4 linked regions of the Notamacropus eugenii genome follow. The protein of the gene in region 1 binds, or shares a complex with, the protein of each later gene. Links are inferred from orthologs where the notes say so. Each region holds a gene or a part of one and is shown in the gene's direction. Other genes may lie near its edges.

What was found.
Region 2: SMARCD3 (region 1) and DPF3 share a complex: the UniProt entries of both Homo sapiens proteins name them as parts of the BAF complex. The link is inferred for Notamacropus eugenii from reciprocal best matches to the Homo sapiens genes SMARCD3 and DPF3.
Region 3: SMARCD3 (region 1) and DPF1 share a complex: the UniProt entries of both Homo sapiens proteins name them as parts of the neuron-specific chromatin remodeling complex. The link is inferred for Notamacropus eugenii from reciprocal best matches to the Homo sapiens genes SMARCD3 and DPF1.
Region 4: SMARCD3 (region 1) and ACTL6B share a complex: the UniProt entries of both Homo sapiens proteins name them as parts of the BAF complex. The link is inferred for Notamacropus eugenii from reciprocal best matches to the Homo sapiens genes SMARCD3 and ACTL6B.

The regions. Positions count from the first base shown.
Region 1 is NC_092874.1:94,746,199-94,754,074, forward strand, and holds the start of SMARCD3 (SWI/SNF-related matrix-associated actin-dependent regulator of chromatin subfamily D member 3), read left to right. Parts: upstream 1-4,874; 5' UTR 4,875-4,973; intron 4,974-7,876. UniProt on the Homo sapiens protein: Involved in transcriptional activation and repression of select genes by chromatin remodeling (alteration of DNA-nucleosome topology).
Region 2 is NC_092872.1:293,878,657-293,885,751, forward strand, and holds the start of DPF3 (zinc finger protein DPF3), read left to right. Parts: upstream 1-4,095; 5' UTR 4,096-4,197; coding exon 4,198-4,247; intron 4,248-7,095. UniProt on the Homo sapiens protein: Belongs to the neuron-specific chromatin remodeling complex (nBAF complex).
Region 3 is NC_092876.1:31,450,769-31,458,278, reverse strand, and holds the start of DPF1 (zinc finger protein neuro-d4), read left to right. Parts: upstream 1-4,509; 5' UTR 4,510-4,721; intron 4,722-4,760; exon of another isoform or gene 4,761-4,954; 5' UTR 4,955-5,030; coding exon 5,031-5,115; intron 5,116-5,230; coding exon 5,231-5,392; intron 5,393-6,585; coding exon 6,586-6,713; intron 6,714-7,310; coding exon 7,311-7,400; intron 7,401-7,510. UniProt on the Homo sapiens protein: May have an important role in developing neurons by participating in regulation of cell survival, possibly as a neurospecific transcription factor. Belongs to the neuron-specific chromatin remodeling complex (nBAF complex).
Region 4 is NC_092873.1:80,136,128-80,143,448, forward strand, and holds the start of ACTL6B (actin-like protein 6B), read left to right. Parts: upstream 1-4,319; 5' UTR 4,320-4,428; coding exon 4,429-4,453; intron 4,454-5,095; coding exon 5,096-5,172; intron 5,173-5,480; coding exon 5,481-5,646; intron 5,647-6,298; coding exon 6,299-6,399; intron 6,400-6,912; coding exon 6,913-7,010; intron 7,011-7,321. UniProt on the Homo sapiens protein: Involved in transcriptional activation and repression of select genes by chromatin remodeling (alteration of DNA-nucleosome topology).

The DNA.
Region 1 (7,876 bases):
GGGGAGAAAGGGTTGGCAGTTTACATTCATATTACAAAACACTTTCAGAGTCATTATATCCTTTCATTCTCACAATGCCCCTGTGAGGTAAGGAGGAATATTTTGTAGATGAAAGATTTGGTGATTCTTTTAAGGTCACATAACAAAAGCTTATGAAAACTGGAGCTATAATCCAGGTCTCCTAACTCCTCGTATAGTACCCTTTTCACTTTTCATACTGCCTCTGTGGTTGTTTATACATAACTCATAAAAAAGTCTACCTTTGGGGCAGGGATTCCCAACCTTTTTTGTATCATGGACCCCTTTGGCAGTCTGGAACCCTTTCTCGGATTTTTTAAAAATTCATTAAATAAAGGGAAAGCTAAATGTGGTAGAAATTAGTGAAAATTAAAATGTAACTTTTTTCTCATCCAGGTTCATAGACCCCTTGAAATCTACCTACCAACTCCTTGAGGTCTCTGGATCTTAGCTTAAGAACTATTTTAGGGACATAACTAGCCCAGCAGAGCCAGGACTAGACATGCACAAAATTATGGCAGAATGCATCTGCCCATTCCAAGTACCCTGTGTCCAAAATCTGCCCTTAGGTCCTTCCTACTCCTCCTTTACAGGGTTCCAAGCTAGAAAATTTACCTTTTGCTAAGCTCCCATCAAAATTTACAAGAGAGCTCCATACTATGAGGGTCCAGCACTTTGTGGGCATAATCTCCTCAACCAATTTGAGCTACAGTATCAACGGCTGATAATAGCCTTTTGTTTTAACTTTTTTCTTAACTGACCTTCAGTGCCTTATTCCTGAAAAATTAGTAAGGTGGGAACTTCGGGAATTGTGGTAGACCAGGTAAGAGAAATATTTAGGGCAGGGGAGCTTTCTTTATCAATGGGCATATTACCTTACCTTAAGCAAAGATGTTTAAGCCTAAAAAGAGCCCAGCAGCTGAATAATCTGGCTGACACAGCCAAGGCAGTCATAACCCATTGATTGAGAGATCTTCCTGGACTACTCTGGCAGTAGCAGTCCAATATCAGGGTATCTTGTTGGCCATGTCCAGCGCTACCTGCCCAGCAGGAGAGTAGCCTTCCTGGCCCAGTCTAGCAATATCCCAGTGGCTGAGTAGTCTGTCTGGTCCATTCCAGTAACATCCAAGTCCAGTGAAGAGCCACTTCAGTAGCTGAGTGAACTGTTTGATCCAGCTTAGCAACATATTGACCCCTTTCCTATGAGGAGCAAGACCAATTGAGCTGTATATCTAACTGAGCTACCTTGCTTTTCGAAAAGCCAGTCCAGTTAACCCGCTAAGCAGGGAAGGAGCTTATCCATCACCAACTTAACACTCAGCAGTGACCTTCTTAAGAGCCCTTTATAGAAAGGAAATAGATCAAAACTTTACAAAGTTGTGAGTTGTCTTAGTCATGTGTTTCTTACATACATACCTCATTACCACTGCATTTTAAGTTTTCAGCCATTATTCTCTCCCCACCTTGTCATAGACTCTGTTTATATCTGTGGGAGAATAGGCCCCATGTTTCCCAGGGGAAATGTTTAGTAACTTCTGTTCTTGCTATACCGTTTGAGTAAATGCCTTTAATGAGAACTGAGTCTTATGGCTTATTAATGGGAAGCACTCTGGTGGGGGCTTGAGAGTTATGGTGTTACAGTTTAAGAATAGTCACCCAAAACACTACCCCTAGAACTATGACAAGAGTAGCAGCCACTCTTTGGGGATCTAAACTGCCAGTGCCTGTGTGGACTAGGGGAATGAACCTGGAAGGGGATATTATGTCATACATCCTCTTTAGAAAATATACCCAAAGCACTAAAAGTATTTCTCTGATGCTTTTAATATTTCCTGCATAGCAGTGCAGCAGTGCAGCAATGAAGCTGGTCATCTGTTATCCCTTGATTTTACTCTATAACCAGCCCTTTTCTGGTCACATATATCTTCAACTAAATTATTTTATATATCTCTCCTGTGCAAGACATAATTACTAATGTGCCAAGCTTCAGTTCACAATATTTAGATACTCAAAATGTGGCTGTGTTATTTATTCCTACCTCTTCTTTCTTTTGTGGCTTAACATAGCCTTGGAGAATTTCTGGCAAATGAAGATGTGGCATTTCTGGGCCTCAGTTTCCTTACCTGTGAAATGAGGAGTTGAACTAGCTCTAACTCTATGCTTTCATGCTCATTTGAAAGGAATGGGTTTTTTTTTAACATGGATATGGTAAAGAGATAAAATGCTCTTTACTTACCAGTTTAATAAGGACTATAGATACAGAAAGGTAGATTGCATCTCTATATAAGAAGTCATTTCCTAATTAGAGCTGTTTGAAAGTAGAATGGACTGCTGTGTGATGTAATGAACTCTGTTAATGAATGTGTTAAAGCAGGAGCAGAAGGACCTTCTGTTAGAAATGTTGTAGAGAGGAGTCACACCTTGAGTGGAAAGTTGAACTAAGTAAACTCTAAGGTCATTAGTATGCTGGTAGTATATCTAATCCAAGTCGATTGACAAACATTAATCATCTGCTATGCGCCAGGCACAGTGAGTACTGATCCAAGGAGAACAGGATAATTCCTGGCACAAAATAAGAGATTCTGTACGAGGAAGGAGGCAATTCGGATCAGATAACTTCTGACACGTATTCCAATTCTTAGATTCTATGATGCTATGTATTGAAAATATCTCATTCTAAGAATGTAATGAAAGGACCTTGAAGAAAACCCTTACAAATGCCTGGTTGGATAAGGTCACTGTGGCACACCTGGGAAATTCGTCCAATCTGTTAACCTGAGCAGGGTAGGCTAGATTAAGGGGAGCCCAGCCTGTGGATGTAAATGAGCTTAATTCCTAGACCAAGGAGATAGGCAACCTTTGGTAACAGGAACAGGAAACGGTAGGGTCACACCCCATTCCAGGGAAGGGAAGACTAGGTTGAGAACCTTAGAACCAGGCAGGTTTAGGTCAGGATGGAGAGTCATTTTCCTTCAGGCAACTGATGAAATGAAAATGATGAAGGAAAATTAAAAGGTAGTTTATCGGATGGACAAGAACTCAAGGCAAGAGTCAGCCAAGAGACTCTGGGAGTTCTCTAGTATGAATTGAACCAAGCCCTCTCAGAGTTCAAAAAAAACAATTTATTTCCTTGCATTTGTATTTTTTTTTAACAGTTTACAAATCACTTTCACATGCATTCTTCTCTGATCTTCATAACAACTTAGTAAGGTATTACAGTATCAGAGAATGTTTGAAGAGGACTTAGAATGTGCCTGCTCTTACTGTAAATTTTTATTCTTGTCCCCATTTTACAGATGAGGCAACTGTAGCTTCAAGAGATTCAGTGATTTACCCAAGATCCTATGGCCAAGAGCCAAGGACTCCAACTCGTCATTTGCTGTTTCTATTTGTATAGGGAGAGAAGTAGGGCAAAGATTTAGAAACAATTTTGTAACTAAGGAACAGATAAAGCTGTTTCATTCTAATTGCAGTAGATTCCCCTCCTCCCCCTTTGTTTCTTTTAATAAGCGCCTTTAAAAATCATCACTGTTTATGGGTGGTCTGTGTGTGGTCTCCCAAGGACACTGGAAAATGGAAAAGTCTGTAGGCATCGCACATTTAGGAGAGAAGAAAATGAGACAGCCCAGCTTCAGAAAAGGAGAAGGGTACCCTTCTCAGGACAAAAAGGGCAGTAGTTGTAAAAATTCTCACTGTGCTCCTGCTGAAGGTAGGAGGCCATGCAATTCTGGGTCAGAGAACCAGAAACAACTTTGCAATTAGAAGGAAGGGAGAGAAGATGGAGCTGATAGCAGCTGTTGGTGCAATTTACAGTTGTGCCACATGCCTGTCTGCATGGGGTCCTCACCAGCACTGGCTACCCAGTTTACTCTTTAACTCCCCTAGGAGATGGGTACCTAGCACAAGAATTATTTCCCCCATTTTGTAGAGGAGGAAACAAGCTTGGAGAGGTGATTGACTTGCATGGAATCAAGTGCTTTGAAAATCTCTACGCTCTCGATTCATAGAAAATTAGAATTGGAAAGTTACCTCCAGAGATCATCTGGACAACCTCTTGTCTGTAGAAATGTAAGAGTAGCCATTCCATAGAGCATGATAGGTGGCCAGGGCTCAGGCTTATGTGCTCCTTAGGACAGCTACTGTCACATAGGCAAGGAAACCGAGGCACAGAAAAGAGAAATGAATTACTTAATACAGTTTCCTGCCGGCAGCTCCATCATTGTGGGATGCCGCCTTCACCTCCTACTCATAAGGTCAGCCCCATTCCCAGCTGTCTGGGGCCCTGTCTTCTTCGTAGATGGGTTCCTGAAATAATATAATCCACTAAATAATTTCAGGATGCCCAGGTCAGCTCACTGACCCCACAGAGACCTGGCTTCTTTTGGTTGATAAGTCAACACAGACACCAGGCCCAGGAGGTGGACGGGGGTGATTAGACCCTTGCTAGAATCCCAACCCTAAAGTCCTGCCCCAAAGGTGGACTTTCCTTCCTCCAGACGTATTTCTAAATGACGAACTGCGGGTGACTTGGGGGCTGTAAATCCGCCAGTGTGCATGCCCGTGTCAGAGTGGGTCTATGTCTAGGTGGGTGTTGGTCTGGGGGCTGACCCCTGTGTGACTGTCTGCAAATGGACATGTGTGGATCAGTGCGAGCGTGCATCAAAATGGACTTGGGCAGGGGCTCCTGAAGATCGCGCGGTGCCCCATGCATTGGGAGGAACGAGATGGGGGGGCTCCCCTCCGCAGCTCACCGCTCCCTGCTCCGATCCCTAACTCGCCGCACGCTCCACGCTCTTTTCAGACGCTCCCTGCGCCTCCCCCGCTCCGGGGTTGCAGCGGCGCAGGCGCCCGGGCTGGCCGAGCCCGAGCCCAAGCACCAAGCCGGGGAGAGGGGCCGGGGCCAGAGCGCGGGGCTGGGAGTCCCGGGGCCAGAACCGGAGCAGCTCCGGGAGCAGGTGAGCCACCTGGGCGGCCCGGGCCCTGCAGCCCCCCTGCTTGGCAGCCCCCACTCCCAACTGGCGTCTCCCCTGCCTCCCCTCTCTGCCTGTCACCCTCCCTCCCCTCCCCCCGGCATTTCCCCCCGCCTTTCCCGACCTGGCATCTCCTCATCTCCCCCTTCCCTCCCGGACTGGCATCGCCTTCCCTTCTGGCATCACCCCCTCCCCTTCCTGCCTGCATCTACCCCTCCCCTCCCGGACTGGCATCTCCCTCCTGGCACAGCCCCTCCCCTCCTTGCCTGGCATCTTCTCATCTCCCTCTCTCCTCCCAGACTGGTATCTCCCTCCTGGCACATACGCACCCCTGGCATCTCCTCCTTCATTCTTCCACCCCTGTATCATTCTCCCCCAATTTGCATCCCCTTAGCCCCTCTTCATGGCATCCTTCTTGTCCTGAACGGGGCATCCTCTTCCTTTCTGACACACTCCACCCCCACTTGACATCTCTCTCCCCCCATTCTCCTCCTCCCCCTCAGTCTTGAAAAGGCTCCTTTCCCTATTGAAAATACCTCTCTTTTTCCTTTTACAGCTTGGGCACACTCCCAACATTCTCTTTCTCTGGTATACCTTATCTTTGACCCCTTAAGCCCTTTCCTATTTGCCCATTCTGTTCACTCCCCACCTAATATATCCCCCTCAACACCCTAGCTTCTTAACATCACCTAGCCTGTTCTTTCTGTCTGTCTGTCTGTCGGTCTCCCTGTCTCTCTCTGTCTCTCTCTGTCTCTCTCTCTGTCTCTGTCTGTCTGTCTCTCTCTCACACACATACACACAGACACAGACACACACACGAGCATACACATATATCCTACCCATCCACAGGTATTCTTCCCCTGATAACACCCCTCTGCTTGCCTTCCCTACCTGTCATGACTACTCCATGATCTAGAATGTCCATATAGACACACCTCTGGCACTGACTCCTATGCCTGACCCCCTCTATAGAGCATCCTCTCCTCTTACACTCAGCCATGAAGATTAGCCTAGGACCCCAGAAGCAAGCCTGTTAGACTATTGAGAATTTCACTTAAAAAATAGATAGATTCTTAGAATTTAGAAGCTAGAAAGTATCTTAGAAACCATTTAGTTCAACCCCTTCATGTTAGAGATAAGAGACTGAAGCCAGAATTACTTCTCTAACGTCACAAAGGTCTTAACAGTTAAAATCGTACCGCAGGTCCTCTTTTCACTACCCCATATTGTTTATTTTCCACCAGGGCAAGGCTAACTCCTTAAGACTGCGGCTTTTTTTGTCACCAGATGTGAATGTAAACCTGAGATGCAAAGTAGGGGAGGGAGGGTAAGGGCAAGAAGTAGCATTTAATCTGTCCAGGTGTGACTGGGAAGATTGTGGAGATCTGTCTCCAAAGAGCCAAGCTGGAAGCTATGACCAACTTTCACTGTGGTTATGTGGACAGTGAGCTTAACAGGGGACTTTCAAGACTGAGAAATTAGCGTCTTATAAACCTGGCTTCTTTCAGTAGGACTGTCCCCGGTACTGCCCTTCTCCTCTGCTCCATCACCACTAAGCTACCTGTACAGATTGAGGCTTAGATTTACAGATTCCCCCCTGACCTGGCCCCATCAATTTCCCCTGCACTGGTTCTGCCCCGCCCCCTCTTTGCACTGCTTCTTTCTCCATCCTTCCTGCACTGGCCCTGCCTCTGCCTCTTGCTCCCTCCCCCCCCTCCCCACCCCGCTCTATGTCTAAGTCCCTCCTGCACAGCAGCCTCTGTTCCCATCCTCCCTGCATTGGCTCCTTCCCTCCCTTCCACTTCCTTTGCTTCTGTTCTCCCTTTACTGGCTCTTCCCCCCTCCCCTCCTCCCCCTCTACACTGCCTCTGCCTTTGTCCACCTCTTGGACTGCCTCTGTCCCTAGTTCTGCACCTCCCCCCCAACCCTGTACTCCCTTTGGCCCTGCCTGTCTTCACCCTGTCCCTCACTGGCTCTGCCCCGGGCTTTCCTGCACTGGCCTGGCCTCTCTGTCTGACCCTGTCCTTTCTGTGCTGTCCCCTTTACCTTGATTGATTTACCTGACTCCATCCTCCCTGCACAGGCCCCGATTCTGCATCTCTCCCCCCTCCCCCCGTACCCTGTACTTAGGATGCCTCTTACCCCATTCCCCTTCATGTCCCTCCTGCAGACCTTGTCTGTCTCTCCCTGCCTCTGTACTTGCTCTGTCTCCTTGCTCTCTCCTCATTCGTCACCTTCCCCCACTGCCCCTGACTCTTCCTCTGCCTCAGTGTCTCCTGTTCTGGCTCTGCCTCCATCCCCCATGAATTGTCTCAGCTTCTGCCTCCGTCCCCCTTACAATGGCTCCATCTCCCTTTCAGTGCTTCTACCTCTGTCCTCTCCTTTCATGACCCTTCTCTTACCCGCTGTGGGGGCACAGCCTCCAAAATTCCGGTAGTATCTACCTCTTGGGGCTTTGGTGATGCTCTGCATGGATGTAGATTTGTATGAGATTAGTTATTATTAACATGATCATTGTTGTCATTATCATTCCAGTACTGCCTATCTTCAACAACGGAACCTTACATGCCTCTTAAGCATGTGAATGCCCCAGTGCCCAATTCAGCCCCTGTGTTTGTCCTGCCAAGACTTAAGCTAATATCAGTTTTGGAACCTTGTGCTTCTTGGATATTATTCCAACTTGTGACCTTTTATTGTGATGCCTACTCCCCCTCGGGCACCTCTGGCCTGCCTGCTGCCTTAGACTGACACCAGGAGTCATTACCCCTGTCTGCCAGCCCCATTCCCTGCTTCCTTTTCTTGCCGTCCTTTCTTCTCTCTGTGACCTGCTTCCTTCCCTCTCTCATATCCTACTTTTTACTCTTCTTCCCCCTGTCCATCTCCATTCA
Region 2 (7,095 bases), on another chromosome or scaffold:
GATAAAAAAATAACATTCCAGGTGCTGTTGTGTCTAGGTTTGGAGCAATCCAATTGATTTAAATTCTGGGCCATCTTTGCTGTTTTAGAATTTTTGTTATATTACAGTCAATCCTCATTAGGCATTTGGAGAACTTTTGTCGGTGTTTTTTAAATGAGAACCCCATTCTTAAAGCTGTAAAATCTTTTTTCCTCACTTCCAATGCAACAACGAGTTTTCCTTTAGACTCCTAAATTTCAGTGTAACCAGGGAGGGAAGGTTGGACTGATCAGGGTCATTGAAAAACTACTCTTCCCAGACAGCCTTGCTTTTCTCTTATTCTGTCTCTCCCTGAGAGATAAAGGGAACTCAGCAATTTTTTCTGGCTCTTCCTTGTTTTCTGATCACAGCTTGAGTAGCCTAAAGTTGGTCCTTGATGAGAACATTTCATTTTCATGGGTGTCAGCTTCTTCCAACTCACATCTTATATCATTCCCAGGTAACTCAGACTGTTTTGTTTGGACAGAGATGGACAGAAAGCTGATAGATGGTAGTGATCCATATCTGACCTCACCTGTGGAACTCCATCTCTTTGCTATGTGAGGAGTGATTTTACGGCTTCCTAATGTCCCTGATGTTTCTATGCAGATGTCATATCAGTTTTTTTCGTGGAGAAGTATATTTACTATTGTGGAGATATCATGTTGGGGACAGATTTTTCTTGGTTTAATAAGTTTTCCACAGCTGAGGAAGAGATGCTTATATTTTTTCTCTGAGGGAAAGTGGCTAACTTAGTGAAGGTTTTGGCTAATTGCCTTGTTTAGACACACTACTCAGATTTACCAAGGAGACTTAAAGCACTTCTGCTGTCATTAATATTATGAAAGAGACTTCAAACTTTTATTTTAGAATCTCTTCCAGCTCGGCCTGTTTACCAAGAGAATTCCCTGGAGATATCAGTAGACTGGAGTGTTGGATGTCAGATTGTTGCAGTCATCTCCAATTTTTCATAGGCTTGTGGCTTCTAGAAAATCTCTACTATTTATTTACTTAGAGTATTATTCATGTAAAGATGACATTGAAAAATACAGTTCTTCCCCCTTTGTCACATTTGTTACTAGTAATATTATATGTTATCAAAATAAAAAGTACTTAAAACCCTTAGGCAACTAAGTGGAATAGAGAATAGAGCACTGGCCTGGAGTCAGGAAGACTCATCTTCCTGAGTTCAAATAGGACCTTAGACACTTATTAACTATGTGACCCTGGGTCAGTCATTTAATTCTGTTTGCCTCAGTTTCCTCATTTTTAAATGAGCTAGACAAGGAAATGGCAAGCCACTCCTATGTCTTTGCCAAGAAAATCCCAAATGGGGTCATGAAGAGTCAGACATGACTGAACAGCAACATTTAAAGCCTAATAACTTTTCAGTAGAAATGACATTTGTTTGACTTTTTCATTCTGTTTATTGTAAGATACCGAATTACATAACTTGTAGTGCTAGAGTGAGCTGGAAACAACATTGCCTTGCAAACCAGTCCATCCTCCACTCAGCTATCAAAGACATCTTCCTGAAGTGCTGAGCTGACCATGTCACTCCCCTGTTTAATAAACTCCAGTGGCTCCCCGTTAATTCTGTCATCAAATATAAAATCCTTTGCTTGACTTTCAAAGCCCTTCATAACCCTGCCCTTTCCTCCCTTTCCAATCTTCTTATATCTTCCTCCCCTAGAAATACTCTTCAGTGACACTGGCCTCTTGTTCCTTGCACAAGAAGCCCCATGTCCTGCCTGGGCATTTTTCCTTCCTGTCTCCTATGCCTGGCATTCTCCCCCTCCTCATCTCAGCCTCTTGGTTCCTTCAAGTCTCAGATAAAGTCCTATCTTCTGTAAGAAGCCTTTCCTGATTTCCCCTTAATTCTAGGGCCTTCTCCATGAAATTATCTCCAATTTATCCTAGAAATATCTTTATTGTACATAGTTACTTGAATTGTTTGCATGTTATCTTCCCCATTAGACTACGCTTTCCTTGAGGGCAAGGACCATTTTGTCCTTCTTTGAATCCTCAGCTTTTAGCACAGTGCCTGGCATATTGTTGTGTTGCTGCTGAGTCATTTCAGCCATGTCCAATTCTTTGTGATCCCATCTGAGGTTTTCTTGGCAGAGATACTGGAGTGGTTCATCATTTCCTTCTCTAACTCATTTTACAGAGGAGGAAATTGAGACAAGCAGGGTTAAGTGACTTGTCCAGGGTCACACACCTAGTAAGTGTCTGAGACCAGATTTGTACTCAGAAAGATGACTCTTCTGATTCCAAGTCCAGTGGTTTATCCACCGCACCACCTAGCTGCCCTCTTGGCACATAGTAGGTGCTTAATAGATGCTGTTGACTTGGTCTTGGCTATGCAGTTAAGTAGTCTATGACCCTTTAAAAAAAGGCATTACATCTCTGCAAGCCTTGGATTCCCCAAGTGTAAAATAAGGGGGTTATGTTTAGTCAAGATCAAATTCATAATCTATAAGTACTTTACAATTTTATTTTTCACTTTAAGCAAATTCATTTTCTGCTTCCTCTGCTTTTGGATTTTTCTGTTGGAAGTACATTATCAATACTGCAGAGGAATACTTACTGGAAATCTTCCTTCATTCCTTCCCCTCCTCCACCCCTATTCCTGCCCCCAAAAGTTTTTTGTTTTGAATAAAAACATAGAGTCCTGGACTGTCAAAACTATCAGAAATCATCTAATCATAGGATTATCGGTGTAAGCTTGGAAAGACCTTTTGAGATTAACTAGTCCATCTCACTCACACCACAGAGAGATGAGGAAATAGATCTTGAAAGATAAGTCACTTGCCTTTGAGATAAGTAAACAGGACTAGAATCCAGGTCTTCTAACTTCCGATCTAGTGCTCTTTCTATTAGATTGCTAATATTTCTATAGGTAGCTTATATGTCTATAACAATTTAAGGTTTATGAAGCTCATTCCTCTCAATAATACTTTGGGGTAGGTAGTGCAAATGTGATCATCCCCATTTTACACAGAAAGAAACGGAGGCTCAGAGGTTAAATGACTTGCTGAGAATCACACACCTAGTTTCTGAGGTAAGATTCAAACCCAGATCTCATGATCCCAAGGCCAGTGTTCTTTCTGCTGCCTCATAATTTCAGTTGTGAACTGACCTACCTTTTTCTTATTTTTATTGATATTTTTTAAAAGCACTTTTGTTTCTGAATATCTTTCTTCCCTTGCCCCTACCCTAACCAAATAGAGTGAAGGCTGGTTACAAATGGAGTTGTTTGGGTGTAAGGATTAAGAGAACCAGTCGGATTCTCTCTCATGAACACTGACTCCCATCTTGTGCTGCCACATGTATTATCCTCCATCTTGTTCTTTTGCAAATCATTCAGGGGAAAATAGATGGCATCTATTGTTTCATAAAATGAAGGTAGATGCAATTAATCAGCATCTCCCAATTCCCAAGGAAAGACCTCAAAACCTGCTCACCCTCTCCCAACTGACCAAAACTCATTCTTCCCCCCTCACAACTTGGAAAATCCTGTCATCTTTCCTCCAGTTAGAAGTCAGATTACTTAATCTTATATCCTGGTTTATATGCTATGAATTGTTTTCTTTTAATGCATAATGATCTATTTCCCCCTGTATTTGGGGTTCAGTGCCAAGCTGAAGAAGCCTGATCCCAATTTGTTAGGCAAATACAATGAGTTGCTAAATAAATCAATACTCTCAGAATCTCAAACCTTTGTTTCCTTAGTTATTTCTGATTTCACCTGTCACGCCCAGGGAGTCATCCCTTGTAAAAAAGATTAGAAAAAAAAGAAAAAAGCAATTCAGCACAGCCAGCCAATGCATCAACAGTAAATGCAACGTTCCATACCCAGAGTCCCCCACCTCTGCAAAGAAAGGAGGGAGGTACATTGTTTCATTTCTACTCTGGATCAAACTTGTTCCCTATAATTTCACAATGCTCGGTTTCATCTAACTTACTTTAAAGGAAAATATCTAGTATTTAAATAGTTAACATCTTTTTGGCAAGCTTTCAAAAGAACTTAGATTACTGTTCCTGGACAACTGGAGATAGAATCTCCTCATCTCTCATCGTCGTTGTGGTGTAGCTGGTAATCTTTGCAGTTCATTGGGACAAGGCATTTTAGTGCCAAGGAAGTCTAGGCCAGAGAGTTTTCATCTTCCATATACCATGGCTCCTGTAAAAGTTCTCACTTGCACTACGAGGGTCCTGCATTTTGGGTGAGGAGCAATTTCAGTGGGTGCGGTGCAGACTTAAACATTGGTGGAAAACTGAAGTTCTTATTTTCTTGTTAATCTTTTCTTCCTTGTTACTAACTTTGATTACATCAGATTATGTGCCATTTTGTTTTATAGCATTTTAATAAGCTCTCATTTTCCCCTCTGCTCCTCTCCAGCTGTGTGTGATATGTATTTGCTTTAATTTGATTATACTTTGGTTGGGAGCTAGTATTACAGTTTCATACATGTATGTATATTTCCTTGTGATTCTGAGAATATTCAATGAGCATAACCTTCTGGAGGGAAGGAAGCCAAAACTCATATGCATTAATTAATTAACTCTTTGGGTGGCTCTATCCTGGGCAGGGTAGCAGGTAACATGTACCTTAGAAATGTGAAAGGGTTAATGAGTCTTCTTAAATTGAGGGTTTTGCTTCAGGTTCACTAGGAAGATTTAAGTTTTTAATAGTTTTTTAAAATACTTTCTTGGGGAGACGAGGTTTTGGATTTATGATTTTGTCTATCTGGAGATCTCCTATTGTAGAAGCTTTTTTTTAAAACTGATACAGATTGTCAATTCCTCTGTAACTTTAGTCTGAAAGAAGCCTGGTGGAGTTGACAAATTTAGGGATTTGTCCACATTTCCATGGCCAGGCAGCACTTGAATTCTGGTTTTTCTGACTCCATCATAAGTCCACTATTCACTATGCCATGTTGCTGCTTTTAAAAATAGTACAAAAAAATTTAAACTGTATTTTCCTACTTTATTGAAATATTTCTTTTTTAGAACTGTTAAACTTTTCATATTTCCCCATTTTTTTTCATTCTCATATTCACACACAAGCAAAACAAAGGTTCATTTATTATGTGGTTTCATTTTCGTCTGGTCTCTCCCTCACTCCTGCTTAAAAGAGTGTTTTAACTGGTGGATAGTTAAGCAGCTACATTTGTATCTTTACTTTTCTCTCTTTACTGGCTGCTCCCTCTTTGCCCACTCCCCATGTATTTTGTCCTCAAGGTCATTTTCATATTTTACCTCTGATCACTGGGTAAATAATGTTCTTTTACTCTTTGGAATGTGACTTGTCAAGTAAATTGTAATAAGGAAAATCGACAGTTTCTCTGAATTAGTGGCATTTGAAATGAAAGGAACCACACACTCAGGAATCTGAAATTTGCCACATTTTACTAGGCTTCTATTTTTTCTTATCAAAAACCTCAGAGGAGATATTTTGCATATAGATTTGTTAGAAATATTTAAATATTGTAAGCATTTTATCACAGTTATTTTTCTGCAAATATATGATTTTTAAGAGATTTGTTAGATTTTTACCTTGCAAAAATCCTAAACTGCCTATGCCTTAGAGTTTCTGTGACTGAAAAAAATCATCTTTGGTCAACCTCTTGGCCAAAGGATGGTTGTTGCTGATGAACCTCACCAAACTTATTTAGATGGGTCTTGGGTTCATGGCCTTTTAGTTTGTTGTGGGGTTAGTACTAGGTGGTGAAGTGGATAGAATGGCAGGGCCTGGAATCAGAAACACCTGAGTTCAAATTAGGCCCTAGACACTTACTAGTTGTGTGACCCTGGGTAAGTCACTTAACCCCTATTTGCCTCAGTTTTATCATCTGAGAAATGAGCTAGAGAGGGAAATGGCAAACTATTCTAGTATCTTTGCGGAGAAAAAGCCAAATGGAGTCACGAAGAGTTGAACGACAACCTAAAACATTCTCAGCCTGCTAGGACCTGCTAGGGTTTGTACTCAGTGTCAGCACCTCAGTTTCACTCATAGGGGAAACCTCTTGATGTGGAAACCCCTTGCTCCAATGCAAATTAGCAGCTCATCTGTAATTTACAGTCTTTAGAGAGATTTGCCAGGAGGCATTGAGAGTTTAAGTAACTTGCCCATCATGACACAGGATGTATCAGAGACAGAACTTGAACTCAAGTCTTTCTGATTCTGAGGCTAGTCCTCACTTGACTATGACACACTGCCTCATGGGGACCCTGCAGCACTGGTAAATAAATGCATGATGTGAATGGATTTATTTCCCATCCATGTAGGAGACTGACTACAACTACCATTTTAATGGGCATTTTGAAGCACAGCTGGTTGTCTCCCCTCAAATGCACCAATCTTCATTAAAGATAGCTGATTCTCAACATCTTACTCTCATCGTTAGTGGGGATTTTAAGTTACCTGATACATTTTAGAGCAAAAATGATAATAACAATAATATGTATTTAGTATTTATATAAATTTTATTAAAATTTATATAAAAATCATATAGATCTAGTATTAATATAAATATTTTGTATTTACATAGTAAAGTTTGCAAAGCACTTTACAACTCTATCTCATTTTACTCTTATTAACATTCCTGGTAGAAGAAAGAGCACCGAACTTAGTAGTGGAGGGACACGCTTAGAACAAGAGTACCCCAGTTCCTAACTAGTTTGGTGGCTTTGGATTCTATGTCTCAATTTCCTTCTCTGTATAATGGGGATAACAATAGCTAGCATTTATATGCTGCTTTGAAGTATACAAAGCATTTTATATGTGTTATCTCATTCTCCTGAGAAAGTCAGAAGTGAAGCTACTTACCCAGGTAAGTCTGTAAGGGCGCATTTGAGCCCAGATCTTCCTGACTGCAGATCTGGAGCTCTATCCATTGGTGCTTAGTGAGAACCTACCTGCTCAGGCTAACTCTGATACCATGTAGTTCGTGGTTCATTGATAATTATCATTTTTTTTTTTATAACTAGGAAATGGAAACTTTCCCTTACCTGTTTCTAGGGATGTGCTAAAGATGGATGAGATCATGCTCACTTTGAACTCTTCAGGAA
Region 3 (7,510 bases), on another chromosome or scaffold:
CAATAATAAGTAACAAAGAGTTAAAGACTTGAAGAGTAAAGACTTGAACTCTGTCTTCAAACAAAAACTCGATGACCACTGGTTAGATATGTAGAGGAGTGGCTTGTTTAGGGATAACTCAGAATCAGGATGGACTCTGAGTTTCCTGACAACTAAAAAATTCTGGGATTCTTCTGGAGAGGGAGACCTCTGGGCACTGCAGCAGGCCAAGGGGCTTTCTTAAACTCCTTGGGAATCTAGAGAGAATATAAGGTTAAGATGAAAAATCCACATATAGGTTGAGGAGGTGGACACACAAAGACACACAGGCACATGGAAACACACTTAGAAAATCTAATGTAGCAAGGAGCCCAAGGTTGAGGTCTCAGGAGACCTACTTCAACCTGTGATTTTGGGCAAAGATCTCTGTGGGGTTCACTTTCCTCATCAATCCACTGACAGAGTTGGGCTCCATAGACTCAGATGTCCCACTAAACTCAGTGCAAATGCCAGTGTGGGGGAATTTGTCTCATTTTTCCTCCCTCAATCCCTCCTGGGGACTCCAGACTTTCCCTGGCAAAGGATTCGGGATGGAATGAAAAGAGTCCAGGGTTTGGAGTTTGGAGTTCGTCTTGGCTTATTACTGCATCAAGTTTTCCCTCTCCGGACTTCGATTCCCCCTCTTTAATTGGAGAACTAGGCAGGGGAATAGGTGTTGGAATAGGTGGTCCTTAAGTACTCTTTACCAGCTCAGATGTTCAGGGTTATGTCATTCTTCCAAGGCTTCGGACGATTCAGTACTGAGGACAGCTCCCAGGACCGCCCCCTGCCGGAGGTCTATTCTGTTACAAGCCCTGAAGTCTGAGAAAGGCTAAGGATGTTCAGTTTCGAGGCAGGCCCAGGGGCATGCTTCCACTCTCACCTTAGGGGACCTTCTCCATCCCTTTAGTGTGAGTCCCACAACTTAGTTTTGGGTTCTGGAGTGTTCCCTAAGGGAGCAAGGTATGGGGGAAGGAGGGGTATGATCTCCAAGTAGATCAGGAATTATCTAGATACTCAAACCCCTTTCATTTTACAGATGAGGGAACTGATGGGGGGGGGGGGGGGGAGAAGAGAAAGAATGTGTCCAGGATCACACAGGGAGTAAGTAACCGAGATGAAATTCCAAACCAGGGCTTCTGCTTTCAAACTCAGCGCTCTTCACTCCCTTCCATTCCACTGGGCTGAATCTCTGCCCCGGGCACGGGCCGCTGCTCTGCTGGGAGGAAATTTCAGAAAGGAGGAACTAGGGGATAAGGTATGGGTGATAAACTCAGAGCGGGGATGCCTATAGAGCTGGGTTTCCTGGGGATAGGTCTTGGGGATACAGGATTCCCATACATTCCCTCTACCCCACGTAGCCTGACTTGGCCGGAAGGGGGACGTTGTGCCTGACGGAGAGCTCCAGGGAAAGGATGCTCCGGCCTCCTTCGGCACTCCCCGCCCGGTACCTCGGCTGCCCAATCGGCGCCCTGGGGGAGTGGGCAACCCGCAGGGCAGTCGGGATTTGGAGTTCTCCCAGGTTGGCCCCCTCCCCACCCGGGTGTTTGAGAGGACTCCATCTCCCAACGTCCCCCGGGAGGTGTGAGGATTGGCAGACCCAGCCCACCCCTTTCCCCCTCCCCCGTGCCCCCCTTCAGTCCCTGATCCCCTCCCCCCTCCTCCTTGGTCGCGGCCCCGCCCCCCGGCCCCGCCCCTCCCCTCACCGCAGCCGAAGAATGAATGAAATTGTAGCGCGCTGGGCGGCGGAGCAGGAGCAGGAGGAGGAGGCGGCGGCGGCGGCGGCGGCGGCGGCGGCGGCGGCGGTGGCAGCGGCAGCAGCGGCGGGGGTCGGGCACGGCCAGCGGAGCGCGGGGCCCCGGGGGGCCGGAGCCGGGTCCCGAGGGCCGAGTGGCTACGGCGCCGGGGGAGGGGAGCGGGCCATGGCCACCGCCATCCAGAACCCCCTCAAGTCGTGAGTCTCCCCTTCCATCCCATCCTCCCTCCCTCCCTCCCTCCTCCCACCGGGCACGGGGCTGGGCACGGCGGGCAGAGAGGGGACAGGAGCCCTGGAGCCTTGTGTCTGCCCCATTTCCCTTCCCGGAGATTGATGGGTGCCACTGACACCTGGGCGCCCTCCGCCTCCCCCCCGCATCCCCCAAGCCTTGGGTTTGATAGGAGCTGGGGATTATTGGGAGGGGGCGGGGGATGGGCACGTTTGGCAGCTGAACCTGTCCCCCCTCCACCTTCCAAGCCGTCTCTATTGTCGCCACCCTCAGTGCAGGAATTTGCAGATCCCCAGGTCCGGGCTGGGGGCGGGAAGGGAAGTGGATCTGCTGGAGGCTGGGAGGGGGGGGTTCACCATCCCCGCCAACCCTAGGCACTGGTTCTGGGACTTGTTAACCTGCCAGCCTCCAAGGCTGGGGAAGGGAACTGGGAGCCGCAACCGCCTGGGTCCCCCCCCACTGTGGACCCTCCAGTATAACGGGGCGGGGGCGCCCCTTTCCCTGGCTCCACAGGCTCCTCCCCCAGGAGTGACAGGCGCGTGCCCGACAGAGGGGGAGGAGGCTGGGGAGTGGCGCGTGCCCGTGAGTTGTCGGGGACGCGGAGGCGCACAAAGGGGCCCCGGGACAGCCCCCCTTCCTGGCCCACCCCGTGAGCTTGGCCTTGACCTTGGGGTTGAAGGGGTGTGAGGGTCAGAGCGAGGCCGCGTGAGACTGAGGGCAAGCAGCAGGAGGGTTGGGGGTTGCTGGGTTTCCTGGAAGTCTCTGATCCCTGTCTTTTCTATCTCTGTCTCTGCGAGATCTGGAAGCTAGGGGCCGGGCGACCAAAGGGGGGGGTGGGGGGGGCCACCGTGCACGCGCCAGCACGTGTGGCCTGTGTGCGCGCTCTGCGGGTCTGTGCGCGCCCCGGCTGCTTGTAAGCTCCTGTGTGAGACTGTGATTGTGTGGGGGGGTCTGTGCATGTGAATCAGGAGGCCTTTCCGGGTGTGCGTGTGTGTGGGGTCCAGTTGTCTCTGTATCCCAGTGCGTATGCCTGTTGTCAGTGTGATCTGGGTGTCAATTTGTGGTGTAGAGTTGTATCAGCATAATTGTGTTGTATGCTTCTGTATTATGTGTTTACTGCGTGTTGTGTACTTGTGGATTGTGTGTGGTAGCCGAACCTGGGTGTAAGTAAAGGTATATGTGGTTCACACACGGTCTAACTACACATAGTGCCCACGTTAGTGCCAAAATAGGAGTCTGTCTCCGGATTTTCACCTGGCCCAGGCCTCACACCACTCTGTCCCCTTCCCCCACGAGCTGCCAGGGCCTCTCCTTCCCGGGGCCAGACCTAGATTTGGCCTCTAGTGACAGCACCGACCCCCTCCTCCACCTTCCGCCCCGCCACCCCCGCACTACATTTCCCAGCATGCCCCGGGGAGTCCCTCTCCCCCCCCATGTTGGTTGATGTCCCCGCCCCCACCCCCACCCTGAGAATGAATGGAGTGGCCGCCAGGGCCAGGGCGCTGCAGACCCCGAAGCTCTGAGGTGACCCGGGCGAGGGTCGGGCCAGGTGCAAGATGGCCACGGTCAACCCCAGCCCAGTCCGGTGGTGAGCCCGGCACCTCCGCCCCATCCCATCCCACAGGGCGGGGGTTGCAGAGCGTGTGTCTCGGAGTGGGATTTTGTGTGTGTGTGTGTGTGTGTGTGTGTGTGTGTAGGGGGGAATTGTGATTGTGTCTCCTGTAATTGTGTGCTTGTCTCGTGTTGCTGTGTGTGTAACGGAGATTTGTGCATTCGTCTTGGATTGTGTTATCAGTGGTTTGGTCTTCCGTGAATCTTCAAGTGGCATTGTATTAATCTATATTCCAAAACAACTCCACAAACGCCTATCGACCACCTACTGTGTACAAGGCCTTTGGTGTGGTTGTCATTCGGGGAGCCTCAGTGTCCTCATCTGTCTAATGGGGATGCGAATTCCTCCGCTACCTGTCTCCGTTCCAAAGGAGAGGAATTGTCTTCTTTTGCTGTCAGTGTGTAATTTGGTGACCCCCTTGACCCGTATTTGGGATTGTGTAGACAAAGGGATCGGATTAGCTGATCTGCAAAATCCCTTCCATTTCGACATACCTGGGGGAGGGGGGAAGTGAGGCTAGGGTGGGGGGAGGGCGGTAACTGTATCTGGTTTTGTGTCCTCCGGGTAGTACACCAAGGAGTGTAGAGGTAGTCTACCTGGTGTATAATATATGGGTGTATGGTGTTGTGGGGGGCGTTGTAGAAGAACTAAAGTGGGGGGAGGGACTGTGCTGGCGCTCACTCCCCCTCCACCCCCACCCCGGGACATTCGCGCTGCCGGGGATGCCTGCGGGCGTGGGCACCACCTAGCGCTCAGCCGCGGGGGAGAGAGGGTCAAGCTGTCTGAGCCTGGTTAGGGGAGGGAAGGGCTCTACCCCTCTCTCCGCCCACTGAACATCCGCCCCGGCGGCATCCCAGACTTTAGCTCCTCCTCTTTTTTTTCCCATCCAAATATGCCAGCTACTCCCCAAAGTTTGAGGGCTACCACGACGTTCCAGGACACTTCCCCGCACACCAGCACAATTCAGATGTTCTAGGCCCAAGCCCCTGCTTTTCAGCGCCTACTCTCTGGCACCTCCTGCTTTTCAGTCCCCCCTCCCCCCACTACGTTCCAGCACCCTCCCCAAGTTCCAGCTTTCTCCAGAAACTCTGGACCCGGAGATTTCGGTACTTCCCACGTTTCAGTGACTCCCAGACCCTCCAGTGACTGGGCCACAGTGTCCCAGCGCCTTCCCTAAACCCAACCCAACTGAGGCCCAGGGTCCACCCGAACATTCGAGCCGGACCCAGGTGTTCCGGCGTCCCCCGAAGTCCCGGGGCATTCCCAGAGGTTCGAGGGCTCCAGGCTCAGACCCAGAGGCGTCTGCTCGGCTGACCCTGCTTGCTTTGCCTCCCCGCAGCCTGGGCGAGGATTTCTACCGCGAGGCCATCGAGCACTGCCGCAGCTACAACGCGCGCCTGTGCGCCGAGCGGAGCATGCGCTTGCCCTTCCTCGACTCGCAGACCGGGGTGGCCCAAAACAACTGCTACATCTGGATGGAGAAGACCCACCGCGGGCCCGGTGAGGAAAGCGGCGGCGCCTGATTGGGAGGGATGGGGAGAGGGAGGAGGAAAGGGGAAGGGGAGGGGGGCAGATGCCTCAACAGTCTCCCCACCTTTGCCCCTCTCCTCTCCAGGACTGGCCCCTGGACAGATCTACACCTATCCGGCCCGCTGCTGGAGGAAGAAGCGAAGACTGAACATCTTGGAGGACCCCAGGCTGCGACCCTGCGAGTACAAGATCGGTCCGTGGGGGGCCCCCAGCCCAGCCCCTGCCCCCAGTGTGAGCGTGGCCCAGCGTGAGCACCTGAGCCTGTGTCTGAGCGTGTGCGGCCCCCGGGGCCTGTGTTGGTGGTATTGAGTCTGGGGGGGGGGAGGCACCCGGGGCGCAAATTGTTATTGATGTCAGAGACAGCGTAGAATGAGACTGACAGGGACCTAGGGACCTTGCCACCGAGGGAGGTAGGTTTTGAACTCAAGTACTCTGAGTTCCCTTTTATCTGTGTGGTAACCTATCACCTGACTGTGACTAAGAATCAGAATGACTTAAAAGTGTTGGAATCAGGAAGATCTGGATTCAGATCCTGCCTCAGACAATTGTGGTGAGATCTTGGGCAAGTCAAGTTCCTCAGTTGTAAAACAGCATGTACCCCACAGGTTATTTTGAGGTGCTCCAATGAGAGAATGTATGTAAAACATCTCCAAGAGCTAGATGGAAGCTGTTGTGCAAATGTGGTTGCATTTGTGATTGTGTGTCTGTGTGTGGTTGTGATTGTGTGACTTGTGGTAGTTTGTGATTGTGTATCTGTGTGGTTATGTGTGTATGGCTGTGTCTGTGCCTGTGGTTGTATGTGATTGTATCTGTGATTGTGTCTGTGTGATTATGTGTGGTTGTGTGTATGATTGTGTGTCTCGGTGCTTGTGTCATGGTTGTATGTGTATCTGTGTGATTGTGTGTCTGTGTGGTGTCTGGCAGGGTGAAATCTACATGCTGAGAAAGCATTCGGCAAACATGTGTACTCTGTGCAAAGCCATGCTTGTGATGGTGTCTCCGTGTGGCTGATGGCAACTGAGTGTATGAGAACTCAGAATTGAGGGCCTCAGTGAGTCTCTGAGAGTATGTCCCTAAGGGGTGGCCCATGGGAGCATGTCTGCCTTAGTTCCAGACTTAGTATGCACTGCTGTGAGCATCTCAGAAAGTGCCCCAGTGTTTTAGGTCAGGACTCAGGTCATACTGTCTAGAGAGACTCCATGGGGTGGGTTGGGGGTTGGGTAGATGTGTGTATGTGTGTGTGAGAGGGTGGGAGGCAGAGGAAGAAAAGAGGAGGGTGAGAGAAAGACAGGGAGGAGGGAGAAAGGGAGAGGGAGAAAGAGATGGAGAAAGAGGAGAGAGAAAAGGAAGAGGGAGAAGATAGAGAAAGAGAGGAGACAGAAGGGGGTCCTTGGCAAACAACATTTCTTTGACCCTCCCTGTTTTCCACCCTTCCCTCAGACTGTGAAACACCCCTAAAGAAGGAAGGGGGTCTCCCTGAAGGGCCAGTCCTGGAGGCCCTACTGTGTGCAGAGACAGGAGAGAAGAAGATAGAACTAAAGGAAGAAGAAACCATCATGGACTGTCAGGTGGGGTGGGGTGGGGGGCCTGCCCTCCAGCCCTGCCCCTATCCCTCCTCCAGACTTCTTTTGGAATAGCCACATTCTCCCCTCCAGCACATATGAGGAAGGCCACCCTGACCATCCTCCTGAGATGACACTTGGGAGTGTCACTCATGTCTGTCTCCTGCTCCAAAAACTCCCTTGACTCCCCACATCTGTAAGGAATTGGCATCCCTAGCCTACCCTTCAGTCTCAGAGGTCTCCACACTCCCAGGGGCTCTCTTCTCGAAATTAAGACTCGAGTGCCTCTGAGTCTTTGTCCCCTCCTCTCTGTCCTCCCCAGCCTTCCTACATCAATCCCCTTCCCCTAGTTCCTTCAGCCTTGCAGCGCCTTCTCTATCCTATATTCTCACCCTGAGTTGGGTTTTTTTTTGGTGTGGAAGGTTCCCTCCCCACCCCCTCACTCTAACAGAGTCCTTTTCTTGCCCCTTGCCCTCCTTGGAGACCCAACTCGGGGGCAGCCCCAGCTAGAGGTCTCTCTTCCACCATCCCTGATGCTGCTGCCCACTCCTAAAGCCTCAGCAAGCATCCCTTCCCTGAAAACTTGTGTTTCCTCCTGCCCAGAAGCAACAGATGTTAGAATTTCCCCATGAACTTGAGGTGGAGGACCTGGAAGACGACATTCCTCGCCGAAAGAGCAAAGCCAAGGGGAAGGTAGCTGGGGCCCGGTTCCCCCTGCTCCCCTGCTCCCCCTCCCCCTTCCCCTCCCAGGCCTGAGCCCAGCTTCTCCCCGGGCCGCCCATAGAGCCAGATTCTCTTATCTG
Region 4 (7,321 bases), on another chromosome or scaffold:
TCGCTTTCATGCACTCTACATTCCAGGCAAACTGCTTGTCTGCTTTTCCCAGTATGTGATGTTCTTTCTCCCCATCTCCTATATGCCTATAATCCCCCTTACCTGGAATGTTCTCCCTCTGCACCTCTGTCTTTGAGAATTCTAGCTTCCTTTAAAGCTCACCTCAAGGACTTTTCCTTATAGTCTTCCTGATCCCCTACCATACTCCCTTACCCCTTTACTAGCACTACTAGGAAAGAACTTGGTATATGTAACCTCCCCTCCCCCAAAAAAGGTGCCCAGTGCCTTCTTGTCCTAACTAGCCAGGTCCTCAGCAAATGGTTCCTAAATCCTTACCTGGTTCTAGAGGTACCACTGAGGGGTTGGAGAACACCTTTCCTTAATGCTGTTGGTACCAAGCCTCATTCTGGTGTGTTCTTATCATGATTATGTGGTAGTTTTCAGAGAGGGTATTCAGTAAGGTAGTACCATAAGGAGAGTTGGTACAAAGCATCCTCTTCCCCCACCCCCACCTCAGTCTGACAAACTGGTGGGAGACACCAGGGGTGAATTGGCCCAAGTTTAGCACATGTGGCAAAGTGGTAAGTTATGGCTCTTGATTGTTGGAAGATCTTTTTCCCTTTCATGTGGTGCTCAACAAGTTCTTCCATAGCAAAGTGAATATTTGTCCAGTTTTTGCTTGACTTGAATGATGACAGGGAGATGGGAAGGTCCAAATCCTCTTGATTCTCCATATTTTTTAAGGAGGAAGGAGAGACTTAGGCCAAAGTAAGATTGGAAACCTTTTGTAACTTTCCCCGCCCCAAGCAGTTTCTTCTTAGGAAGTGTTACTGAAAGTCACACTTGCTCCAATCTCTGGAATAGTGCCAGTTCTCAACGCAATTGATAATTTGTCTGAGGATAGTGTAAGGACTATCTGAACACTTAGTATTCAAGGACAGATGGGTTCCTCCTTTGAAACTTATTCTTACCTCATTAAGGCATCAGGGCATACCTTATTATAAGGTGAGGAGGCTTGATTGAGTAAATCCATGAACCTCAAATTTACATATATTTTTTGTATTTTTTTTTTTTTTTGGTACATGCTATTTTCTCCCAATAGAATGTAAACTCCTTGAGGTCCAGGAGATAGTTTCATTCTTTTGTTTTGGTATCACCAGCAATTCGTGGCACAAAATAGGCTAGGTATTTGAGAAATATTTATGTAATGAATATTGAATGAACAAATTCTGCCTAATTCCTCCTCATGGACAAGTCCTGCCAGTTTAAGTGAATACACAGCTACACATATAAAAATGCATGTACCAGGGCCTAGGAAACAAACTCAGGAAGCATTTATTAAGTGCCTTTTATGAGCAGTGTGGCATAGTGGAGAAAGAGCCAGCCTCAAAATCAGGAAGACCTGGGTTCAGTCCTGACTTCTCTTAACTGACTCTGGACCAGAAATATCAAACTTGGAGTTTGCCAGTCACATATGACCCTGCAATGCAGGACTGACCCCATGCCAAATTAAACTGTACTTGGGAAATATCAAAATAAATAAAAATACAATAGAACATAAATTATATTAATATGTAGTTTTCTAAGTCAGTATGCACCCTGCAAAGATCCTTATATATGATTTCTATTTTGAGTTTCACACCACTCTAGGCAACTCTCCAAGACTATAAATTGCAAAGAAGGTACCAACCTGCATTGACTGAAGAATCCCCTCACCCTGGAACTCTCTACAAATAAAATCATTGGTCCAGGCTCTATCCTTAGAATGTACCAGGCTCTGAGCTAGACACTATAAATAAATTTTAAAAAATTATTTAACATAAATTTGGCTAGCTAAAGAAATGTATACTAATAAAAAGAACAAAATAATCTCACTTCACACACAGCGTATATTTTAAAAGAGAAAACTGCCTAAAGTCAATAAGACATCACCTGGAAGGGACCTTAGAACATCCAATCTAATCCCATTCTCTCTTTCCTCCTTTTACCTTCTATCTCTTTAAAAAAAAATCCCCAAGAACCTATAATAAATTCGATATACCCATATAATTCTTTGCTGACAGCAGACTCATTCTAGAATCCCAGTCTCTTAGACGTAAATTAGTCAACCCTTATCCTGAACAGAAATTCCCTCTACAGTGTATTCAACAAATGGTCATTCAGTCTTTGTCTGATGAACTCTAGTGATTAGTAGCTCTAATTGTTAAAAAAAATTATTTTTTTCCTTTTTGAATAAACTTAAGAAACCCATTTTCCATGATTGTTGCTTATTTTTTATTTATTTTATCTCTCCTCCCTACCTAGGCTTAACATTGAGGTTGCTGGTTATTTTAACAGGGTACAAAACAGTAAAACAAAGATACAAATATTTAAACTGTCAGCTGTCAAAAAGTTCATATTCCAATTCGTCTTTGAGGATCTCTACAGCTGCATACTTCTCAGTTTTAGGATGATAATCCCAATTTGCAACTATCTCTAGATCCAGATTAGTTAGAAAGGTAGAAAACAAATACTAAATGCCAAGTATGTGCCAGGCGACTAGCACTAAGCTCTTTATAAATAGTATCTCATTTGATCCTCATGACAACCTTTCAAAAAAGAGTTATTTTCATTTGATAGGTGTGGAAACTGAGGCCAATAGAGGTTAAGTGATTTGCCCAGGGTCAGACAGCTAATAAATGCCTGAGGTTGCATTTGAACTCAGGTCTTGACTCCAAGCCCAGCGCCACTGCGCTACCTAGTGGCCAATTAAAATATTTTTTATTTTTTAGAAGGATTAAATTTAGCTCTCTCAAGAAATGTTTTCTTTTGTCATTTCTTCATTCAACACAGTTAACAGCTTCTCCAGAACAGTTAAACTCTTAAGTCTCCTACAGAACAGTTAAACTCTAAATCTCCTAAGACACTGCTTATTCAACTGTCACTCACAAGATTCCATTGCCTTTTAATCCAGTAACATTATTGGGGTTTCTACTGAAGGAGTTATTGAAGCTAGTGTCTCATTTATACTTAGATAAAATATACCTGTGCTTCTCTCTCTGTATTTCTGTGTCTGTCTTTTTCTTTTCTCCCTGCCTCCCCCTTCCTATTGCTCCCATAGAGTAGAAAAGAGAGGAGTGGACTTGCAGTTAGGAAAACCCAGGATGGAACTGCACACCTCACTCACCAACTTTATCACACTGTGCAAGTCACTGAACTTTCAGCATCTTCAAAATGAGATGGTTGGACTCAATGACTTTTAAGGTCACTTTTAGCTCTAGATCTTTAAAGTCCTTTGAGTCCAAGAATATGTCTAATCCCTATTCTACATGACAAATCTTCAAATATTTAAAGACATATTTCCCCTAAATCCCCTAAAATTTTCTTTCTATAGGTTTCTTATTGAAACACCACCTCCAGTGCTCCAGCATCCGCACCAAATTCAGTGTGCTTTGAGGAGTGGAGAGTGAGGAGCCAAATCAAGATTCTAAGATGAATCACTTGAGCTATCCACTTGATTTTCACTTTATAAATCATCTCCTGAGCCAAACAAGGAGAGATCTTCATAGTTTCGAAAAGGCTCAAAAAAGCCCAAACCAAAAAGAGGAACAGACCTGAATTCAGTTGCAGGAATTCTTGGCCTTGGAGTCTCTGAATTTTGTATGTATGCTCACACACATATACATATACATATAATACACACACACACATATATAGTATGTGTTTATGCTCACATCCATATACATATATATACACACACATATATATGCACACTATTTTAATAAAACTGGTTTCCTTTGTAATTCTATGTGTTTTATGCATTTAAAAACATCATTCTGAGACACACACAAAAGGTTGAGTCACCAAGTTAAAGGTTAAATACAGAGAAAGAGAAGATTCTTCCATCCTTCCACGCTGATTCCTCCCTTCTCTCCCTCTCTCTTTTCCTTCTCAGTTTCCGGGCGTTCTCTCTCACCCTGTGGCCTTCGTTTTCTCCTGAGCCTGTCTTAGGACCACGTTGGCTCGTTAGACTCCAGGCTCAGTCCTCCAGGAGACCTAGCCTAGGACAAAGACCACACACGCCACTCTCACCTCGGGGCCTAGATCTCAGGATAGAGGGGCTTTCCCACCTTCCTCTCCCTTTTTCATAGCCCACCCCCGCCTCGACCCTCTTATCCCCTCCCCCTCCCCTTCAGAAATTCCTGGAGGCACTTGGCCCTTTAAGACCGAGGCGCCGGCCTAGGTTATTGTCTGCGCTCCCCACCAATTGAAAGCGTGAGTGGGGGTGGGGGATCCGGTATTCTGATTGGCCGGTCCTTAAGCACCCTCTCCCCACCTCCTGGGTCCCTGGAGCTGTCCGGCTATCTCGGTGCTGATCCCGCTGCTGCAGCTTTGGGTCCTCGGCCTGGAACCACCGCAGGAACTGGAGCCGGAGTGGAAGCAGCCACCATGAGCGGAGGTGTCTACGGAGGAGGTGAGATAGCCCCGAGACCCCGGCCTTCAAGCCAGGTCATTTCACACCGCACCCCTAGCCTGGGGGGTCCAGTTCCTGCAGCCCCAGTCCTCCATTCCTGGTAGCTCCTAGCTGGTTTATACCTGCAGGGCAAATGTCCCATGGCCAGCATTCGTCAAGCGTTCCTCACCTTCCTTAAGGCCCTCAGCGCTCCTGCTGCTCCCTTATTAGCAGCTCACTGACAGGCTGTTATACTCTTCTCTCAGGCAGTCCCTCACCCCAACCCAGAACCTCAGATCTTGTGGATGCTAGGAGCTCCCACCTCCCCACCTCTGCATATATAATTGCCCCCTCCATGTCCAGCATTCCACAAATCTCCCTAACGTGTCTATGTTCCTACTGTTCCCTCAGATCCCATAAATGATCCCATGGCCAAAATGCCCATCTGAGTTTTGGCTTGTGGAGAAGACTCCTCCCTCCCCTCTGACCTCATGTCCACCTGGTCTCCCTTAGGTGGAGTTTATGGGAGGGGGGAGAGTCTCCACACCCCGACTTCATCTCTCTCTGGGTCTTCTGAGGTGGGGTTTGAGGGAGGGAAAGCCCCTCTGCTCTGACTTGCAATCTCCTCCCCCTCCTCCTCTCTCCCCTTGGACACACACACAGATGAAGTTGGAGCCCTGGTTTTTGACATAGGTTCCTTCTCAGTTCGAGCAGGGTATGCTGGGGAGGACTGCCCCAAGGTGAGCCTTCCAGCTCCCCTTCCCAACTTTCCTAAAGTCTACATCGGTCCTACTTCTCTCCCTCTTGGTTCCCAGAACCCACCCCCTTCCTTCATACATAAACACCCTGAAGGAGTTAAAAGAAGGCTCCTGATAGTTTGGGAAAGTGTTAATATGGGTTCAGTAGAATAGTGATGTGAGCCCTGGGAAGGGGATGGGTTTGGCAAGAACAAAGGCATGTGGTAATTGGGATGGGGTTGTTTGGGGATATAAAGTAATGTGGAGAAAAGAAAAGGTGACTGTAATCTGCTCTCCCTTCCTCCCCCTAGGCTGACTTCCCCACTACTGTAGGGTTGCTGACGCTGGAGGAGGGGGGTGGGCTAGAGCTGGATGGAGAGAAGGAGAAGAAGGGGAAAACATTCCACATCGACACCAATGCCCTGCATGTGCCACGGGATGGGGCTGAGGTCATGTCACCCCTCAAGAATGGCATGAGTAAGGGAAACCCCAATATCCATTCCTGGGAACACTACTGCTGCAGCCCTTGCCCCTGTCCCATTCATTATGACCACAGTATGCCCCTCACCAACCCCCACCCCAGACACAGCCAGTTGTTCCAAAACTGATCAGGACCTCCCCTCACCAGGTCCCAGGGCTACCCAGTTTCTCTTATGTCCTCTCTGCCTCCCCTCCCTCAGCTTCAACCATACTCACTTCCTAGGTCCCTAGAGTAGGGAAAGGGGTCTGACTTTTCTACTCAGGTCTACCCCCACCCCATTTTTCTCTTCCCTCCTGTCCTCACCTCTCCTGCCTACACGTGTTTGTCTCTTTCTTTTTCTCACACACCCTGACATATACTCCTGTCTTTATTTCTTTCTTCATTTCATTTACTGTCTTCCCCTGAAACATCTGTCTGCCTGTCTCTCACTCTTTCTCTCTGTATTTCTTTCTATATCTTTCTTTTTCTCTATCCTTTTCTCCCTTCTCTCTGAAACTTCTTCTGTGTTCCTCTTCCTGATTTTCCTCTCTTCACTATCATCCTGTCTCCCTCTTCTCTCTGTTTCCCTTCCCCACATATCTGTCTCTTCCTCTCTCACCACCCTTCCTCTCCCATCCCTCTGTCTCCTCCTCCCCTCCTGGTGCCCAGTTGAGGACTGGGAGTGTTTCCGGGCCATTCTGGATCACACTTACAGCAAACATGTCAAATCGGAGCCAAATCTGCACCCTGTACTCATGTCTGAGGCCCCGGTACGTACTCCCAGCTCTGGGTCCCCTTGCCTCTGGAGTTTGTCCTCTATCTTAACCAGCCTACCCTAGAATCCTTCATCAATCACCTTATTTCTACATTTGACCCCAGCCTTGGGATCTCAATTAGCCACCCCATCTCTCTCCCCCTCAAAATCTTCATCAAAACTGAACCCTATCTCCCCTTTCCTCCAATTATCATTTCTCTCCCTACCCTCTCCACAAGTGTTCCTCATTTTCACATTTATACACCCCTCTCCCATATCTCTCTGAATGGGGATAGTATTCATTCACTGGGGGTAGGGAGGAGGTTTGATAGTAAAGATCATTTTGCATTGTGTTAGTTGGCCTGGTCCCTAGCCTCTCTGCACTCTAAGTGTGAGTGTTTATGAACATGTTCATTTGGGTACATGCGTATGTGTGCATATTAGTACATAAGCCTGTGTGTGTGTGCTTGTTAGCTTATTTATATCCAACCTAAACCCCTCCTTATCCTCTCTCCCCTCCCTCCCATAGTGGAACACTCGAGCCAAAAGAGAAAAACTCACAGAGCTAATGTTCGAACAATACAACATACCTGCCTTCTTCCTGTGCAAGACAGCAGTGCTCACCGCGTATCCCCTGGGCTGGCCACAAAAAGGGGAGTCATGGGGGCACACTGGGAGCACCAAGTGAGGAAGGTAGTTGGTTGCTGAAGCAAGCTGAGTCTGGGCCTGATTCGGTAGAGTGAGTGCCCTCCAAGATTAGGGAACTAAACCCCTTCCCACAATAGAGGACTAAGTATTGGCATTTTCTCCTAACCCCTCCTGACTCCACTTGGAGGAACAGCTAGCTGAAAGGGCCTGAACAGCTAAGATGCCCAAGAACAGCAGACTAGCAGGACTAAGAGAAGTAGAAGTTCCCTTCTCACACTAATTCATCCCTA